Linked DNA regions of Oryza sativa Japonica Group. The protein of the gene in region 3 binds, or shares a complex with, the protein of the main gene of each other region. Links are inferred from orthologs where the notes say so. Each region holds a gene or a part of one and is shown on either strand. Other genes may lie near its edges.

Region 1 (6,151 bases), on a different chromosome or scaffold from region 3:
CGCGATTCCGGTATTTGCATAGTATGGGGATCGTTGGTACTAGGATATACGCGAGATTTAGGTAAAAGAGACGGAGGCAAGGATTTGTATATATGTCCGGGCCCCTGAATTGTCAGGTAATAACCCTACTCATGTTGGCCGAAGCCGGTCGTTGCTCTTATTTACCATAGTCACACCAGTACAATATTTGGGGTAGCCTATCTAACTGTTGTCAATATGGTGGTCTAAAGTTCTGACTCGTAGTCGACAACAGGGTAGCCTTCCTCATCGAATCCGCATCCGGTGAGATCAAAGACAGCGCTATGTCTCTCCTAACAGCATCTGTAGACACCATAGGGGACTAGCCATGCTTATCTCTTAAGTCGATATCCAGCGTCTTGTCTTGGCGTATGTTGGCTTGTATGTTGATCTTATGTCTTGATCTATTGTTCCGTGTCCCCTCTCCTCTTAGGGGGCCTTGTATTTATACCCATAAGTGTCCCCTTGTCCAAGTAGAACTAGGAAAACCAATATGGATACTCCGAGTAGTCATTGCCATTTTCATGTAGAACTCTATTCATCCTTCCTTATACGGAACTCCTCCTATATCCGAAGGTTGTTTCCGTATAAGACATGGTATATGGTGGGTCCTGTCGAGATTAAGTCAACTACTATTAGGTATGTGGTATCCATAACCCTGACAATTAGCATTTTTGTGCATTGGTTTAATCGGTTTGAAGGAAACAAAATGGATTCCCAAAAATAATTTCTACAGTTCCCATTCGGTTTGTATAAATAAGTTATAGGAAAACCAAACGAATTTTTTCTTTTCCTTTAAGTTGTAGAGAAAAAACATAGGAAGACTTCCGTTCACTCAAATCTTTTGAAAAAATTCATATGAATTGATACGTGCATTTATTTTTTTTTCACTTTCCTATTTCTATGGATTAAAATTCCTCAAACTGAATAAACTAGCCCTCGAATCTAACGGGTTGTTTGGATCAGGGACTAAAATTTTAGTCCCTATCACATCGGATATTTAGACACTCATTAGAAGTATTAAATGTAAATTAATGACAAAACTCATACCATACCTGGACTAATTCGCGAGATAAATCTATTGAGCCTAATTAATCCATGATTAGTCTATGTGATGCTACGGTAAACATGTGGTAATTATGGATTAATTAGGCTTAAAAATTTATCTCGCGAATTAGCTCTCATTTATACAATTAGTTTTATTATTAGTCTAAGTTTAATACTTCTTATTAGTGTCAAAAACATCCGATGTGATAGAGACTAAAATTTTAGCCCTTGGATCCAAACACCACCTAAGACACCTATAGATCAATGCAAGGACGGTTGCGTACGTCAAGCCTGCACGACTCAACTTCTTCTCCCCATTAGTCTAGCTCGATGGGCTAGCTCCATGCCTGCTATCGAATTTCTCTGGGTCTATTTGGTAGAGCTCCAACTCCTAAATTTAGCTCCAGACGTTAGGTCTAGAATTTAGTTGTGGAGCAGTCTAAACCCAGCTCTACATCTCTAGTTCATTTTGTGAGAGTTCCCCATCCAACTCTGATCCATTTAAGTTGGAACTGAAATTGTTAGGCTAGGCTCTAGCTCTAGAAGACGTGAAGCTGGAGCTGAGTTGTGCTAAAGTTATGCTCCAGCTCCATGATATCTCAACCAATATAATTCGTTTCCTTCAACTCCAATATGGGATATCTTGATCCCTCAACTATTAAAACCGATGCAATTTGACTCCCTCAGCAGTTTTGGAGGACGGTTTCACGGACGTGAGTGTTGACATGGAGTTTAGATGGCATTAGAATTAAAAAAAAATATGTGTGTGAGCCCCATTCGTCATTCACACAATAAAAAATATGAGGCCCCCGTGCCATCTCCCCTCTATCCTTCTTGCTCTTCCCTCTTTCTCCCTTCTCTCTCTATGTTTCTCTTCCTCTCCACTTCGGTGCAGGATCTGGAGCAGTGTTGGCGGCGAAGGGCCGAGGGCTAGAAATCCCGGTAATTGCGGTTCAAGATACAAATTAGATTGGTTAAGGGAGCTAAAGTGAACTTACTGTCCAGCTCCAGGGCTGCTTGGACTGCAAGCCCTTCCGGGCCCAACTTAATTCAGCCTGCTTCGAGTCCGCCGTGTCCAAAGCCCTAAAAGGTCTTTCCTTCTCCGCTCGTCAGCAAGTGAAGGGGAAAATGGCGTCGTCCGTCGCCGCCGCCGCCGCACCGACCGCCGGGGGGCCGCCGGGGAAGCGGCAGGCCTCCGGCGGGCGGGAGGGAGACCAGCTCATCATCACTCCGCTGGGCGCCGGCAACGAGGTCGGCCGCTCCTGCGTCTACATGTCATTCAAGGGCCGCACCGTCCTCGTGAGCATCCAATCCCCCCACTCTTTCCCTCCAAACCCTAGCTTCCACTGCTTTCTTTTTTATGATAATTTCTGCTTTTGTTTGTCATGTGGTGTGGTGTGGTTTGGATTCTTGGATAGTTCGATTGCGGCATCCACCCGGCTTACTCCGGCATGGCGGCGCTCCCCTACTTCGATGAGATCGATCCCTCCACCATTGATGTCCTCCTAATCACCCAGTACTTATTCCCCCCACTCTCTTTTCACCCTTTTTCTTTTATTTTCTTTGCCCCTTCTGTCAAATCTGTGCGTCTCTTGCTTAACTTCGCCCTTAAAATTTGCAGCTTTCACTTGGACCATGCTGCCTCTCTTCCCTACTTCTTGGAGAAGGTAATGTTCCACCATCTTCCGTTTTTTTGCTTCGACAGTAAGTGCTCAGCTATTGCCCTGATACCATTCAGCATCCTCAAGTTGCTCTGGTTTTATTTGCAGACGACATTCAAGGGGCGCGTGTTCATGACCCATGCCACAAAGGCCATCTACAGGCTGCTCCTTTCCGATTATGTCAAAGTCAGCAAAGTTTCTGTGGAGGATATGCTGTTTGACGAGCAAGACATTCTTCGTTCCATGGATAAAATTGAGGTATTTTATCTCCCTGAATGGATTTAAATTGCCTATATAGCAGTACAGCACTTTGTCGACCCCTTTCAAATGCATATGTTAGAACAAATTTGAATGGACAGAAATCCTCTAGATGGTTGATAATCAACTGAGAAACCTGTAACATCTGATTGTTGCTTTGTAAACATTGACCATTTCCTTCCATATAGCATATTGTTGATTCTTCTTGTGATGATCGAAAGCTTGTATGTATTTCATGGAGTGAATGAATACTTTTGTTAACATAAAAATGCCTTGCAGGTCATAGACTTCCACCAGACATTGGAAGTTAATGGCATACGCTTCTGGTGCTATACTGCTGGCCATGTACTTGGCGCTGCAATGTTCATGGTGGACATTGCTGGGGTTCGCGTTCTTTACACTGGTGACTACTCCCGTGAGGAAGATCGCCACCTGAAAGCTGCTGAACTTCCCCAGTTCTCCCCTGATATTTGCATTATCGAGTCAACTTATGGCGTGCAGCAGCACCAACCCCGCCATGTACGAGAGAAGCGCTTCACTGATGTAATACACACGACCGTCTCGCAGGGTGGTCGCGTTCTTATCCCAGCCTTTGCTCTTGGAAGAGCTCAAGAGCTGCTACTTATCCTGGATGAGTATTGGGCCAACCACCCAGAGCTCCATAAGATTCCAATCTATTATGCCTCCCCTCTTGCCAAGAAATGCATGGCTGTCTACCAGACATACATCAACTCCATGAATGAAAGGATTAGGAACCAGTTTGCACAATCTAATCCCTTCCATTTCAAGCATATTGAGTCTTTGAATAGCATAGATAACTTTCATGATGTGGGTCCATCAGTGGTTATGGCAAGCCCAGGTGGTCTCCAGAGTGGCCTCTCCAGGCAGCTCTTTGACAAATGGTGCACAGATAAGAAGAATTCATGTGTTATTCCAGGTTATGTTGTGGAAGGCACCCTTGCAAAGACCATTATTAACGAGCCAAGAGAAGTGACACTGGCGAATGGGCTCACTGCTCCTCTTCATATGCAGGTCCACTATATTTCCTTTTCTGCTCATGCTGATTTCCCTCAGACAAGCACCTTCTTGGATGAGCTCCAGCCACCCAACATTGTTCTTGTACACGGGGAAGCAAATGAGATGTCAAGACTTAAGCAGAAGCTTATTTCTCAGTTTGATGGGACAAATATAAAAGTTGTTAACCCCAAGAATTGCCAATCAGTGGAGATGTATTTCAGTTCTGAGAAAATGGCCAAGACAATTGGCAGGTTGGCTGAAAAGGTACCGGAAGCTGGAGAATCAGTTAATGGCTTGCTTGTAAAGAAGGGATTCACATATCAAATTATGGCTCCTGAGGATCTCCGTGTGTACACGCAGCTATCTACAGCTAACATTACCCAAAGGATTGCCGTCCCATATTCTGGTTCTTTTGAAGTCATAAAGTACAGACTGAAGCAAATATATGAGAGCGTGGAGTCATCAACAGAGGAGTCTGATGTTCCAACATTGATTGTGCATGAGAGAGTGACCATTCGCCTGGAATCAGAAAGCTATGTTACATTGCAGTGGTCGTCTGATCCTATCAGTGATATGGTGTCTGATTCTGTGGTCGCCATGGTCTTGAACATAGGCCGTGAAGGTCCCAAAGTTGTCCCAGTTGAAGAAGCAGTGAAGACACAGGAAGAGACGGAAAGGGTGGCCCAGAAGGTAGTTTATGCTCTTATGGTGTCACTTTTTGGTGATGTCAAAGTTGCAGAGGAAGGGAAACTTGTTATATCTGTGGATGGACAAGTAGCACACTTGGATGGGAGGAGTGGTGGTGTTGAATGTGAAAATGCTACACTGAGAGAAAGGATCAAGACTGCATTCCGTCGTATACAGGGTGCTGTGAGACCAATCCCGCTTATATCTTCTTGAGCTGAAGGCGTTAAAGTTACGCTTAAACGTGTCCAATGTTTCCTAGATGAACTTAGTAGCATTACCTGTCTGCACATGATGAGCAGGCATTTTCATCCTGCTTCAAATGCCTGTCTAATACAGCATGATGTGTTGTAGATCACTGCTCTGGGCCATCTTAGTGCCGTTGAAATAAACTCCAGCTGTAACATTTTGATTTTGTAGCCATTTCTAACTGTTACTCATTTCCTGTGAAATTGTTCTTAGCTTCTCTGTTCTTTTCCAGATATTCTGTTTGCCTGCTATTCATTTGTCCAGTTGGTGATGTACTATGCAATCTTAATGGAAACTTTTGGGTCTCAATGACGAATCTGATTGAGCTGAACTTCCAGAGTTCTTTTCTGGTCAGATCAGCAGGATCAGTAAACCAACATTCGTAATACAATCATCACATCAATAATCTACACACCACCCATAATCACTCTGTAAAATCCGGCCTTAGTACTGTACTCCTCCCTGCACAACCAAATTAATAATCTATACAGTAATCAACAAGCGAAATGAATAAGCAATTAATCAGCCATCTTCACTGACTAATTCTTGTTAGGACGACCACACGCAAAGCAAGACAGCAACTTGGAAGCAAAGGAGCTAGAGCCTGAGGACGACGTCGACGGCGGCGGCGGCGGCTTCACCACCGTGGGGATGTGGGACCCGTCCTCGCCGCACTTCCTGCAGCGGTCGCACTCGTCCATCCATGCCTTGAAGGCGGCGTTGCAGTAGCTGGCCGCCTCCGCCACCGTCATCCCCTCCACCAGCTTGCGCGGGTACACGTCCTCGTCGGCGTGGTCGCCGTTGAGCACCGCCCCCAGCTGCACCAGCTCCTCCTGGAACTCCGTCAGCGCCGCCTGCTCCGCCGCCTCCGTCGCCGGCCTCATCTTCACCGGCTCCGGCAGGGTGGCGGGGCAGTCGGTGCGCGGCGCGTCGCGCGTGAGGACGACGTCGAAGGTGCCCGCCCAGGCGTCGCGGTTGGTCAGGAAGCTCTTGAGGTTGAAGAGCTTCTTCACGGTGGCCGGGATGGAGGAGTGCTCGAACTCCGACGTCGGGTACGGCCCCGACGGCCGGTGCACCACCGTGCCCGGCTCGATCCACGGCGAGATGAAGAGCGCCGGGACGCGGACGCCGAGGCGGTTGAACTCGAAGAAGAATGGCGCGGCGCTGACGATGCCGTCGGGGCTGGGCACGTCCACCGGCGTCGGGACGTGGTCGTA
Region 2 (6,050 bases), about 8.9 Mb from region 3:
AGTTCCTCCCGTCGGCGTGCCTGTACTCGACGTGCGCCAGGGTGCCCGGGTCGACGCAGGCGGCGGTGACGGCGACGCCGTCGGGGTTGGACCGCGGGGTGTAGAAGGAGGTGATGCCGCAGACCCTGCAGAACGTGTGCTTCGCCGTGTGGGTGCCGAAGGTGTAGGTGGTGAGGGACTCGCCGGCGCCGGCGGCGAGGGTGAACTTGGAGGCCGGGACGACGAAGTGGGCGTTCCCGCGCATGGCGCAGTCGGAGCAGTTGCAGATCCACACCACCACGCTCGCCGGCGCCTCCGCCCGCCACCGCACCCGCCCGCAGTGGCAGCCGCCGCTGTGCACCACGTCCGCCGCCGCCGCCGCGCTCATCGTCGCCGTCGTCGCCTCGTGGAAAGAGGAAAAGAAAAAAGGGAAAATTCGGAGAAGAAAGAAGCGGGTGGGATTTTCTCGATGAACAACTGGTCCACGTGGGCGCGTTGACTAGAGTGAGACCAAGGCAAGCAGTGGCTGGGCTTTTTTGTGGGCCAAGATTGATATGGGCTTAATATATGGACTCGAGTTGACTGGCCCATGGGCTCACACTGATATGGGCTTACTGAGCACTGGGCCTACGGCCCACAAAAGCCCATGAGGCAGCCCAACCAGCTCGCGACCTCGTCGGCGGCGGAGAGAGCAAGCGGCCTTCGTGCGGGTGGCGGTGGCGGCGGCGCGGCGAGGAAGGCGGCGGAGAGGCAACTGAGGCGTGGTTGAGGGATTCTGGCGTGGAGCAGCGCCGGGGGAGAGGGTAGAAGCGGCGGCGGCGCCATGGACATCGAGTGCCTTGTGCTAGGTACCCTTCGTCGTCCTCCACTCCTCTCTCTCCCTCTCCGCTTCTCGCACGGATTTGATTGATTGATGGGAATGATGCGTGGATTGATGGCGATGGCGATGGCGCAGGGGCGGGGTAGGAGGTAGGGAAGAGCTGTGTGGTGGTCACCTTCGGCGGTGAGAAGCGCGTCATGTTCGACTGCGGCATGCACATGGGCCACCACGACAACCGCCGCTACCCGGACTTCGACCGCAGTGGCACCCGCCGCTGTGCACCACGTCCTCCGCCGCCGCGCTCATCGTCGCCGTCGTCGCCTCGTGGAAAGAGCAAAAAAAAATTGGGAAAATTCGGAGGAGGAAGAAGAGGGTGGGATTTTCTCGATGAACAATTGGTCCACGTGGGCGAGTTGACTAGGCTCCATTCGTTTCCACTTAAAAAAAGTGGATTAAGTTTTGGATATTCGTGGCACGCTTTTTAAACCGTTAAACGATGTGTTTTGTGCAAGAATTTTCTATATGAAAGTTGTTCTAAAATATCAGATTAATCCATTTTTCAAGTTTGCAATAATTAAAACTCAATTAATCTTACGTTATTATCATCTCGTTTTACGTGAAACACTTAATTTTCACATTCATCTTTATATTCATCATTGAATCCCCTGAAGATAAAAATGAATATTAAGTTTTTTTTTATGTAAAATGATGTGGTATTAACGTATATTCGATTGAGCTTTAATTATTACAAATTTGAAAAATAAATTAATATGATATTTTAGAGCAACTTTTATATATAAAGTTTTTTCGCACGAAACGAGCCGTTTATCAGTTTGAAAGCGTGCCACGAAAATCTTAGGGCCTGTTCACTTTATGCCAAAAAAAACCTTACTAAATTTTAGTAATACCAAAATTTTGGCAACAACTTGCTAAAATTTTAGTAGGATTTCTTATATAATTACTAAAATTTGACAACAAACTAAATGTAGCCACTTTTTTAGTAACTTTACTAAAATTTGGTAAGGTTAAAAATGGCTTCAAAGTGAACATGCCGTTAATCTTCATCCAACTCTTGTCGGAGAAAAGAACGGGACTAGAGTGAGACCAAAGTAAGCAGCGGCTGGGCTTTTTGGTGGGCCAAGATTGATATGGGCTTAATATGCAGATAAAGCGTTTGACTGGGCTCTGACAAGCAGGGCCCATGGGCTCACACTGATATGGGCTTACTGAGAACTGGGCCGAGGCCCACAAAAGCCCAACTCTTCTAGCCGGCAAGCCCAACCAGCCGCACGCCCTCCTCGGCGGCGCGGCGAGGAAGGCGGCGGAGAGGCAACGGAGGCGTGGTTGAGGGATTCCGGCGTGGAGCGGCGCCGGGAGAGGGGAGAAGCGGCGGCGGCGGCGGCGGCGGCATGGCCATCGAGTGCCTCGTGCTAGGTACCCTTCGTCCTCCTCGAGTTCCTCTTCTCGCACGGGTTGATTGATGGGAACCACGCGTGGATTGATGGCGATGGCGCAGGGGCGGGGCAGGAGGTGGGGAAGAGCTGCGTGGTGGTCACCTTCGGCGGCGGGAAGCGCGTCATGTTCGACTGCGGCATGCACATGGGCCACCGCGACAGCCGCCGCTACCCGGACTTCGACCGCCTCCTCGCCGACGGCGCCGCCGACTACACCGCCGCCATCTCCTGCGTCGTCATCACCCACTTGTGCGTCTGCCAAAAATCGAATTGAATTGAATCGAATTTGATCTGTAGCAGCATATCCAGTTTGCTTGCACGGTTAATAGCTTTGTGAAGTTTGTGCGTTGCAGCCATTTGGATCATATCGGAGCACTGCCGTACTTCACCGAGGTCTGCGGTTACCACGGTCCAGTTTACATGACGGTGAGTTGTAACCACTAACCAGTTCATGTTTATTTGTTCAGTATTATGATTGCGCAGCTTTGGTGTATCCGTTCCAGGTAGAATGGGGTTTCATTAAAAAAAAAGGGGCTATAGTGAGGTTGAATTTCAAATTAACTTGTCATAGGTTGGATTTTTATTCATCTTAGCTATCAAATACTAATATCCATTGAGCTTGTGAGTTGTGGCTGTCACTGCAGTACTTAATAGTGGTCATGGTCCTGCGTAAATATGTTTGATGGTCTAGGGGTTCAGTGAACTTGTTGATCTTATTGAGATGATCTTGTCAAAGTATATAATACGCAAAAGGAGATGTGCTGTGAACTGATATTGTCCATCGGTAGCATGTGAAAGCTTGATTTCTCTTGCTGAGTGATTGATCTTCATCTCATAACTTAAATCGTTGTACCTCAAGCAGTACCCGACAAAGGCTTTAGCTCCATTGATGCTGGAAGACTATCGGAAAGTAATGGTAGATCATAGAGGAGAGGAAGAGCAATATAGCTATGAAGACATCCTACGCTGTATGAGGAAAGGTAAATGTTCTGTGTTCACTTTTCACATATCTTTTACTAGTCTACTTAGATATTGTGCTGGCACACAGGTATGCATGTACGATAGTTCTCATTTGGTTATTTCATTGGACATTTCAGTTATACCATTGGACCTGAAGCAGACCATTCAAGTAGATAAGGACCTTTCGATCCGTGCCTATTATGCTGGACATGTATGTGCTGTATACTTTTCTGTCCCATATTAACTGCAGTGTTATTTTTTAAATTCTTGGAAAATTAATATTAATGTTGTTCTGTACTTTCTTAATTAGTCATCATTCTTCCACATGCAAGGTTCTAGGGGCTGCAATGATATATGCAAAAGTTGGAGATGCTGCTATTGTGTACACTGGAGATTACAATATGACACCAGATAGGCACCTTGGAGCAGCGCAAATTGATCGTCTGAAGTTAGATCTGTTGATAACAGAGTATGCTACAAATTCAAATTATAGTTATGCTCTTGTGCATCATGTTTTCCTTTTGAAATGTTGACCCAGTGATGTAGTTGTAGACTTGTAGTGAATCATTGCCACTCAGGATTAGGTTCTTTGGTATGTTTTAGCAGTAATTTTGCTGTCTTGTTTCTTATAGCTCTTTTATCTTTTGTGTGCGCTTGCGCGCGTGCTTGTGTGTCCATTAACTATCTTTATGATATCAGGTTTTCCACACAGCTACGTACCAGTAAACCAGTATCCGGTTTCTGTTGTTAACCTCTGCTTTGACCTGTATGTAGTTGGAAATCTCCTTTGTAGTTAATGATTAGGTAGGTGTATTTTGCTAAATTTTTCTTGTGATGTTTCGTTTTAATATAATCCATATTTGGTTTTTATGGAATTATGGTCTACCTTGTTCTGTACTGTTGTCTTAATGTTTTACCAATACGGAATTTGAGGTGCAGTTCTTTGGTGTATCTGTTTTATGTTCAATGTGTAAGTATTAAACTGAAGTTTTATCTGCAGATCAACATATGCTAAAACTGTGCGTGACTCGAAGCATGCCCGAGAGAGGGAGTTCTTAAAAGCAGTATGAAACCTGAACCTTCACACTACCAATTTTATTGGGGCTTTTTTTATTTGGTTTCTTTTGTAACACTTATGCAATCCCCTTGGTGATGCAAGATATGTGTTACATTTATCGATGCTGATGGTTGGGCTTGTAGCATTGTGCAAACTTAAGTAGTTTTGTACATTTCTATGGCATGAATACCTCCAGGGAGTTCATGCTCACAAAATACTAAGTACAACTTGTTATTAGCCAAGAGTTTATCCCTTTTTCAAGTTCTGATACTTGAATCATGTTGATTGTGTTGACACATTGAATCTTTATAATCTTTACTTGCAAATTTCTACTTAGTAAATTCATCACTTTAATGAGAGCGTATTTTATCTAGGTCCATAAGTGTGTTTCTGGAGGTGGTAAAGTTCTAATTCCAGCATTTGCTCTTGGAAGAGCACAGGTACTCACCACTCCTCTCTTAATTATATGTGATGATGCATTTAATTTAATGGTTAAGAGTAGGATCCTTTTGGAAAAATGTCCTTTGGAGTATGCTGTTTGAAACTTCCATAATCAGAAGTGATACACTGCTGTAATGTGGAAAACAAATTAAGATTGCCTTGAAACTCCGAAAGGGGCAAAATATAGATGTAGCTATGAACAGAGTGGCATTTTATTGAACGCAATCTCCATAGTGATATTTTATCAAAGCCTACTTTGTGGAGTGGCATATTACCAATTTTCTCCTCTAATGTGTGTCAGGAGCTATGCATACTACTGGATGACTATTGGGAAAGGATGAACCTGAAGATTCCTATTTATTTCTCAGCTGGTATGTGTCTTTGTCCAACTTTAACTTGCTTTCATGTATTTGTCCACTTTATTTATTGTTGTATTTGTTTGATAGGTTTAACCATTCAAGCCAACATGTACTACAAAATGCTTATTGGATGGACTAGCCAAAAGATCAAGAACAGCTACACAGTTCATAACCCATTTGACTTCAAGCATGGTATGTCCTTGAATAAACATTTCATTTGAATCATATGTCGAATTTCGTAGAGTGTATCTGTTTAGGGAAAACTTATAAACCTGCAGTATGTTTTCCTTTTATTTGTATATAAGAAACTATGTGGCATGCATTCATGATGCACCTTCTTTAATGAGTGTTGATAATACTGATATTGAAGATATATGCCATTGGCTCCTACATTGTACTCCCTCCGTCCCAGAATATAAGAAGTTTTAAAGTTGGACATGGTTATTAAAAAAGTAGGTAAAAGTGAATGGTAGAGGGTTGTGATTGGATGAGTAGTAGAGGTAGGTGGGAAATGTGAATGGTGGAGGGTTGTGATTGGTTGGGAAGAGATTGTTGATGGAGAAGTTGTTATATTTTGGGACAAATCCTGATGGCTAAAAATTGTTATATTTTGGGACGGAGGGAGTATCTCTTAAATTAGAGTTCTAATGCACATCATTTATGTTTCTGACTTTCTGTTATGTACAGACAGTACTGAATATTTTTTTTCCTCACGTTGCAGTTTGCCACTTTGAGCGTTCTTTCATTAACAATCCTGGTCCATGTGTGCTTTTTGCAACACCTGGTATGATTAGTGGTGGATTTTCCCTTGAAGTGTTTAAGAAATGGGCTCCATCAGAAAAAAATCTGGTTACACTTCCTGGGTATTCCTCTTAACTCTTGTAATTTATTCTTTCTTCTATATTTTATAATGTTGTAAGACATTATATGTTTGCTTGCTGAATAAAATATTTCTGTTGGTACTGGAGAAGCCTAATCAG
Region 3 (5,900 bases):
CTTACAAACGCAGCCTAGCTATACCGTTGGATGGTTTGCGAGATGTGCTGGCATCAATAACCATGGGATCAGAAGCCTTTGCGTTTGATCCAAGAGACGCCTTCTTTTCCTCCTCTTTGTTTAGACTGGCCTTTAGCGCTTCCTCCTTTTTTATCCGTTCTTGTTCTTCTTCGTAAGCTTTCAGCTCATCACCAACTAAAGGAATTCGCTTGCTCATAGTGACCTTTACAGCTTTTGGAGGTGGATCTACTTGGAGCATGCGAGCTAGTGTCCCAAACTGGAATGGGATACTTTGTAATTAGATAGCTGTAGAACATAGATATATGATGCTAGAATTCTTTTGCTGAGTGAGAACAACACAAATGTTTGATCAGTTTTTGCAAATACAGAAATCTATGGAACATGAAGGCAGAGAGGATATGGTTAACGTGACGTAAGTTTGGATTCATCATCAAGATTCATGTTGTTTACACAAATTTTAAAAGTTTCATGTAGGTTGTAGCAATCAATTTGCTAAGGCCCCTTCAAGGTGTTGGACTACTTGTCACTTACAGGTTTGAAGCTATAATGGTTTGTATGTAGCTAGTTATTGAATGTATGTGCTGAGAAAGAAATAAACCATCCAGATATATTGAGTACATGGATTTACCTGTCCCTTCTCAGTAAAAAGTACTAGATTCTTTGCTTCATTTGCCATATCAACAAATATGTCATGAGAAAAGCCAACCTCCAAGCTTGCCATGGATGCTAGAACCACCTGCTAAATGTTTGTTAAATTCACGTTTCCGACAGTATGGAGGAAATAAATGTTACTCTAACCTTTGGTGCATCTCCCAGCTTTTCAAGCTCATCTTTGTTTATTATCTGTGTAACACATCTGCAACACAGAAAAAACAAAAGTTGTAGAAACTAAACAAAACAATCATACAAATATCGTTCTTAAGAAAGTTATATATGAAGTTTATAAACAAATAATAGTATAGCGCTGATTCAGGAAAAGAGGCAGTTGAATTGGCTCTGATAATACAGTATTGTAATAACAGGACAGCCCAATGAGATAAAATATAAATATGACTCCATAAGGAGAAAGTAATAGAGGAAACATGTCTATTGGGCTGTTGAAATGTAAAATAATAAGCTCATCATGAATCTTCAGGCTTGCAATGCATAGCAATTGTCAATATGCACAGAATAAAACAAAACGATGAACTGAAAAAAAGGAAAGTAACAAGAATCATTCGTACTTTAATAGGAAGGCATTGTCTCTAGTGTGTTCAAAAGACTTTGAGATTGAATCATTCATCCATTCAAGAAAACTCTTGACATAATCAACAGTACTCGTAGAAACATTTGTCAGAAAGTAGATAGGGTAGATCAAATGCCGTTGAGCCCAGTACTGCAATAAATCAAGACAAAAGGTGAACATATTATTGACATAACAAAATAAAACAGTACGAGAACAAGACCTTCAAGATTTCACCTGCTCCAATATCAAAAGAATTTCAAGAACTCTACCAGCTGTATCAATCGGCAGTAACACACTACCACCACCAGTTAGAACTTTCACTAATGCATCTGCATGAAACAGGATGTCAATTAGACATCACAAGAGGATTCCCATACAGTAACTAAAACAAACCATATACACGATAACATATATTTGGAGTCTAAAATATTAATAGTTTATTATTGAACTCAACAATGTGTAGCACTAAAAAATAATTGAGAAATAAAAAAAGTTGTGTCCAAGTTGCAAATTTGGAAAATAGAAGATATATTCATCAGTGCTACTTTGATGGAGAAAACATAAGTAAAAAACAGCTTCCAACAAAATTATCATGAGCTGTTACCTGCAACCATGGCTGTGTGGGTATAGTAGTAATGCTAGAGCTGAAAGCATTTGAAAAAGAGATAGAGATAGAGAGCTATGATAATAACATGTCCAGTGTTGTACCAATGAAATCTTGATCCTGCTGCCTTTTGTAGACATGGTTGTTCAAGGCATTGTATGCATCAGTTATCAGAACAGCTGGCCGTACAAATGATCCAAGAGCAGTACCATTCAAATGCCTGGAAAAGCACATTGCTGTTATTATTTGCTAATAAAGAGAAAACTAAAATGACAAGTAAATGACAAAGGAAGGATTTAACCTCTCTTTACGATGGTTGAAGTCAACAGCATAAACAACATCCTCCCCATCTTTTGTTATCTTCCATACCGTGCCACCCAAATCATGCCCAGCAACATGTGGAGCAATAACTATTCCTTCACCTTTATCTGCCAATCAATAGTATGTAAGGGGATGTAATTTAGCAAAGGATATACATCAACAGCATGCTTACTGACCATTCAAAAGGTGGTTCTGTGAGTACTTCAATCTAACAACATTTTGGAATGCAGCATCAATATCGTCCAAAGTAAACAAGTCAAAATCTGAAACTTGCTGCAAAGGAAAATAAAGAATGGTTAGATCCACTATATGCAATGAAACAAACAAGAGGTTAAAATGGACACTAGAAAGCTTACCCGTCGTGATATAAAGTAATCATACAAGGTTAAAATGCCAAGTCTAAATACAGGTTCTGTGGCATATACTGGTGCAGATAGTCCGAGATGTTTCATAGCATATGGCAAAGCTCCTAGATGCATGGTATCGGCATGAGACAAAAGAACTGCATCTATTGTTGGTGCAACCCTGAAAAAAAAATACTGATCAAATTCATAATCCATAAAAATACTGAAACATGTTCAAGTGTTCCCTTCAATCTTTACAGATGTGTAATTTGAATAATTGAACAACAAAGATCATGGGAGCTTAAAATGGAACTTTTGCATGATTTTGAGGCTACTAGTACCAAGCTGGTGAGATAATTGCTACTAAATCTATGCCATGATTACTCAACAATCAAGGAAGACGAACAAGAATAAGTTTATTCAGCATAGAAAAATAAATATAAATATGAGTCAGAGTTCAACCTGAAAGCAGGCTATCTATTACAGGGAGGCAAAAAATTGCCTTGATCATGCCACTCTATAATTGCCTTAAGATAGATATTCACCATTTAAGCAAATGAAAGCAATTACTGAAGGTTCCATGTAAAAACCACATGAAATGTTGAGGGGCAACGCCCAGTAAGACAAGCTTGAGAAGCAATATTAAGCACGGTTTAGAAACTCGAGCTACATCTTTGGCACATACTAATTAACAATTAAGGTCATACATAAACAACACATCAGTAAGTAGTCCATATGGTATGTATGCAGGATCATGGGCACAATGTAGAAGTGCATATGCGTTCGTGCACACGGACCCACCAACACAAGTGCATAACATGCACCAAGCCTGACTATGCACAAGCACACCCGAACACCTGTCGGACTCAGCAATTCAGTTGAGGCAAATCAATCTCCTAAACCGACGATCTCATTCGTTACATAGCAACACAGATAACCCTAAGATGACAAAATCACAGCAGAGCCGGAGAACCCTTCACTGTCTCCAAGTGTAGGCAATTGAACGAGCAGGTGGCGCGCATGGCAACCCCATCCCCATCCCATCCGAACTCATCGCAGCATGCGGCAAAGGAGAAAGACTAGCACCAAAGCAGCTGACCCCGACTAGCCAAGAGGAGAGTTAGGGCGAAAATGGTGGAAGCGTACTTGGCGAGGGGTTGGAGGTGGGAGGGGTCGCAGAGGTCGGTCCAGCCGCAGTCGAGGAGGAAGCGGAAGCCATCGACGGCGAGCAGGTAGCAGAGGGGTCCCTCACCGTACGCGCCACTCAACGGAGTCACCTGCACCGACGTCCCCATCCGATCGATCCCCTTCGCCGGCGGCGGCGGCGGCGGCGGCGGCGAGCAAGAAGTGGAATGAGAGAGAAAGAGTCCAAGTGTAGTAGTTGGGCCGCTCGAGAGGCTTATGCAGAAAAACTGTACATGGGCCGGGCTGAGGCCCATATACTTCCTCTTTTGTGTTGGTTTCCTTCACTTTCCTACTCGAGGCCGACGGAGCGTTGCGTCCGCCGCCGCCATTGTCACTCTCGTCTCCATCTGCGTCTCCGTCTTCGTCTCCGGCCAGCGAGCCCCTTTTCGCCGGCGACCTAGAAGCGAGAAATCCCAACAAATACACATCCAGAGAACCGGCTCGGCTCTGTCGCCTTCCCCTTTCCTGGGTGTTGGCTTGTTTGGTTGGATCTAAGCAAAGGCCTAACCGCGGCGATCTTCCGCCTCCCATCCCATGGACGGCGCGAGCGGCAGCGGGGAGCCGACGGCCAACGGGGAGAAGAAGCCCGACGAGCAACACTTCGATCCCAGCCGAAGTAAGGGTCTCTCTCTTTCTCACGCACCTTTAATTTTTGTTACCTTTTGTGTTCGTGCTCTAGATTTGGTTACTCCTATTCGGTACTAGAGTATAACAAATCACGACTCATACTGATTTGCTTTAGAGGGTTCAGGTTTTGTAAACTAGTATTGCTAACTAACAATTCGCCACGAATCAAATTGGAAATCTCACAGTCACACGAAATAAACATCTGCTGCACAACTAGGAATGCACAAAGATCCTATCAAATGCCATGGCCATGGCCTCAATTTTCGTAGCCCTTGGTCCATAATTCAGTTCACTTATAAAGCTTTCTGAGAGATGTGCATAGGATGGTAATTCTTGAACCAACATCTCAGTTTATTCGGGATGGAGTAAGTCTAGTATGTTGCAAAAAATTTGACTCTATATAAATGATTGGAGCAGGTATCCTATCCTACCAGATACTGAATAGAAGTACAATTGTTATGCATGTACTAGCTACCTTGCTAGTATATTGTCATGAGTGAGTTATGAAATGTCAAAGCTTTATCTCTCCATGATTTTCACATGGTACACTGGCCTCATTATAGTATTAGAGATATATTGAGTTCTGTTGATGCATTGCTTGCAAAATCTAAAAAACATTTTTCATTTGTAAAATAGTTGCCAGCATTCTTGTGCTTGTATATAATGCCATGGTGTTTTGAAGTGATAGGAATAATCAAAAGGAAGGCCTTGATTAAAGAACTGGCTGCTGCTTACCATGCTGAGTGTGTGGCATGCTGTAAAGAGCTTTTGCAGCTCCAGAAAAAGTGGGAGGAGGTCTGTATCTGTCCTTCTCCAAAATGGCAGATAATCCCGTGATTTACATTCCTCGCATTATTTTCAAACGGAACATATGTAACACGAATCCTGCTCTTCCTTGGTCGGTTGTGCAGGAGCAGTATGTTGAATTTAAGATGTCTGATGAAGCGCCAAGGACGTTGACAGTGAAGTCTTCCAAGCGCAGGAAAAGGTAGCTTTAGAAGGCATGAATTTGACAGGAGCTTTAGATGTTGGAAGTTAACAGAAAGAAGCCCTGTGTAGTTTGAGATTTTTTTTGGTAGATAATCAGCTTATTCTGGACTCTCAATTGTTTTTGGAGTGTGTGTGAAAAACATTGTAGCTAGCTGCTTGCTGGAGGTATCAACTTGGCCGCTATAAATTGGGCATCTATCCTCCTTACGTGCTTGTGGAGCACATTATTTCTATTCGAACCGGATTGTTCCATAAATCCATTGGAAGTTTCAAATTGGCTCTCTGTTCATAGGATCTTATCCATCATCCATACATAACGAATTGGTATGGTATAATGATATTATCAGCTGTGAGAAGTAGTTGCCCTCGGATGTTTTACTAACTAGGAGATTATTGTTTGTTTGATACTAATATTTTTCAATTGAACTATAAGAAGGTTATTTATTCATATTCTTGAACTGTTACTAATATTGTTAACCTGTGGATTTGTGATGCAAAGAGAAAGAGAAGAGAATATTACAAAATAAGTCATTCCTAGAGTTGAAAATTTCTCCCAAAAACACGGATGGTTTCTTCTCACCCT

What was found. The genes of interacting proteins can lie anywhere in the genome.
Region 1: cleavage and polyadenylation specificity factor subunit 2 (region 3) and cleavage and polyadenylation specificity factor subunit 3-I share a complex: the UniProt entries of both Arabidopsis thaliana proteins name them as parts of the CPSF complex. The link is inferred for Oryza sativa Japonica Group from reciprocal best matches to the Arabidopsis thaliana genes CPSF100 and CPSF73-I.
Region 2: cleavage and polyadenylation specificity factor subunit 2 (region 3) and cleavage and polyadenylation specificity factor subunit 3-II share a complex: the UniProt entries of both Arabidopsis thaliana proteins name them as parts of the CPSF complex. The link is inferred for Oryza sativa Japonica Group from reciprocal best matches to the Arabidopsis thaliana genes CPSF100 and CPSF73-II.

The regions. Positions count from the first base shown.
Region 1 is NC_089037.1:36,886,499-36,892,649, reverse strand, and holds cleavage and polyadenylation specificity factor subunit 3-I, read left to right. Parts: upstream 1-2,179; 5' UTR 2,180-2,193; coding exon 2,194-2,364; intron 2,365-2,483; coding exon 2,484-2,581; intron 2,582-2,686; coding exon 2,687-2,732; intron 2,733-2,834; coding exon 2,835-2,984; intron 2,985-3,263; coding exon 3,264-4,901; 3' UTR 4,902-5,165; downstream 5,166-6,151. Other genes in the region: non-specific phospholipase C4, read right to left, coding at 5,474-6,151. UniProt on the Arabidopsis thaliana protein: Component of the cleavage and polyadenylation specificity factor (CPSF) complex that play a key role in pre-mRNA 3'-end formation, recognizing the AAUAAA signal sequence and interacting with poly(A) polymerase and other factors to bring about cleavage and poly(A) addition.
Region 2 is NC_089043.1:18,258,702-18,264,751, forward strand, and holds the start of cleavage and polyadenylation specificity factor subunit 3-II, read left to right. Parts: upstream 1-2,078; 5' UTR 2,079-2,208; coding exon 2,209-2,233; intron 2,234-2,315; coding exon 2,316-2,502; intron 2,503-2,606; coding exon 2,607-2,679; intron 2,680-3,115; coding exon 3,116-3,233; intron 3,234-3,350; coding exon 3,351-3,424; intron 3,425-3,545; coding exon 3,546-3,682; intron 3,683-4,213; coding exon 4,214-4,277; intron 4,278-4,644; coding exon 4,645-4,710; intron 4,711-5,012; coding exon 5,013-5,082; intron 5,083-5,157; coding exon 5,158-5,262; intron 5,263-5,791; coding exon 5,792-5,933; intron 5,934-6,050. Other genes in the region: uncharacterized protein, read right to left, coding at 1-367. UniProt on the Arabidopsis thaliana protein: Component of the cleavage and polyadenylation specificity factor (CPSF) complex that play a key role in pre-mRNA 3'-end formation, recognizing the AAUAAA signal sequence and interacting with poly(A) polymerase and other factors to bring about cleavage and poly(A) addition.
Region 3 is NC_089043.1:27,168,838-27,174,737, forward strand, and holds the start of cleavage and polyadenylation specificity factor subunit 2, read right to left. Parts: upstream 3,886-5,900; 5' UTR 3,811-3,885; coding exon 3,662-3,810; intron 2,697-3,661; coding exon 2,528-2,696; intron 2,445-2,527; coding exon 2,348-2,444; intron 2,279-2,347; coding exon 2,152-2,278; intron 2,071-2,151; coding exon 1,955-2,070; intron 1,576-1,954; coding exon 1,481-1,575; intron 1,397-1,480; coding exon 1,245-1,396; intron 878-1,244; coding exon 820-877; intron 758-819; coding exon 650-757; intron 278-649; coding exon 25-277; intron 1-24. Other genes in the region: uncharacterized LOC9271620, read left to right, coding at 4,235-4,316, 5,010-5,122, 5,239-5,319. UniProt on the Arabidopsis thaliana protein: CPSF plays a key role in pre-mRNA 3'-end formation, recognizing the AAUAAA signal sequence and interacting with poly(A)polymerase and other factors to bring about cleavage and poly(A) addition. Required for antisense-RNA-mediated gene silencing.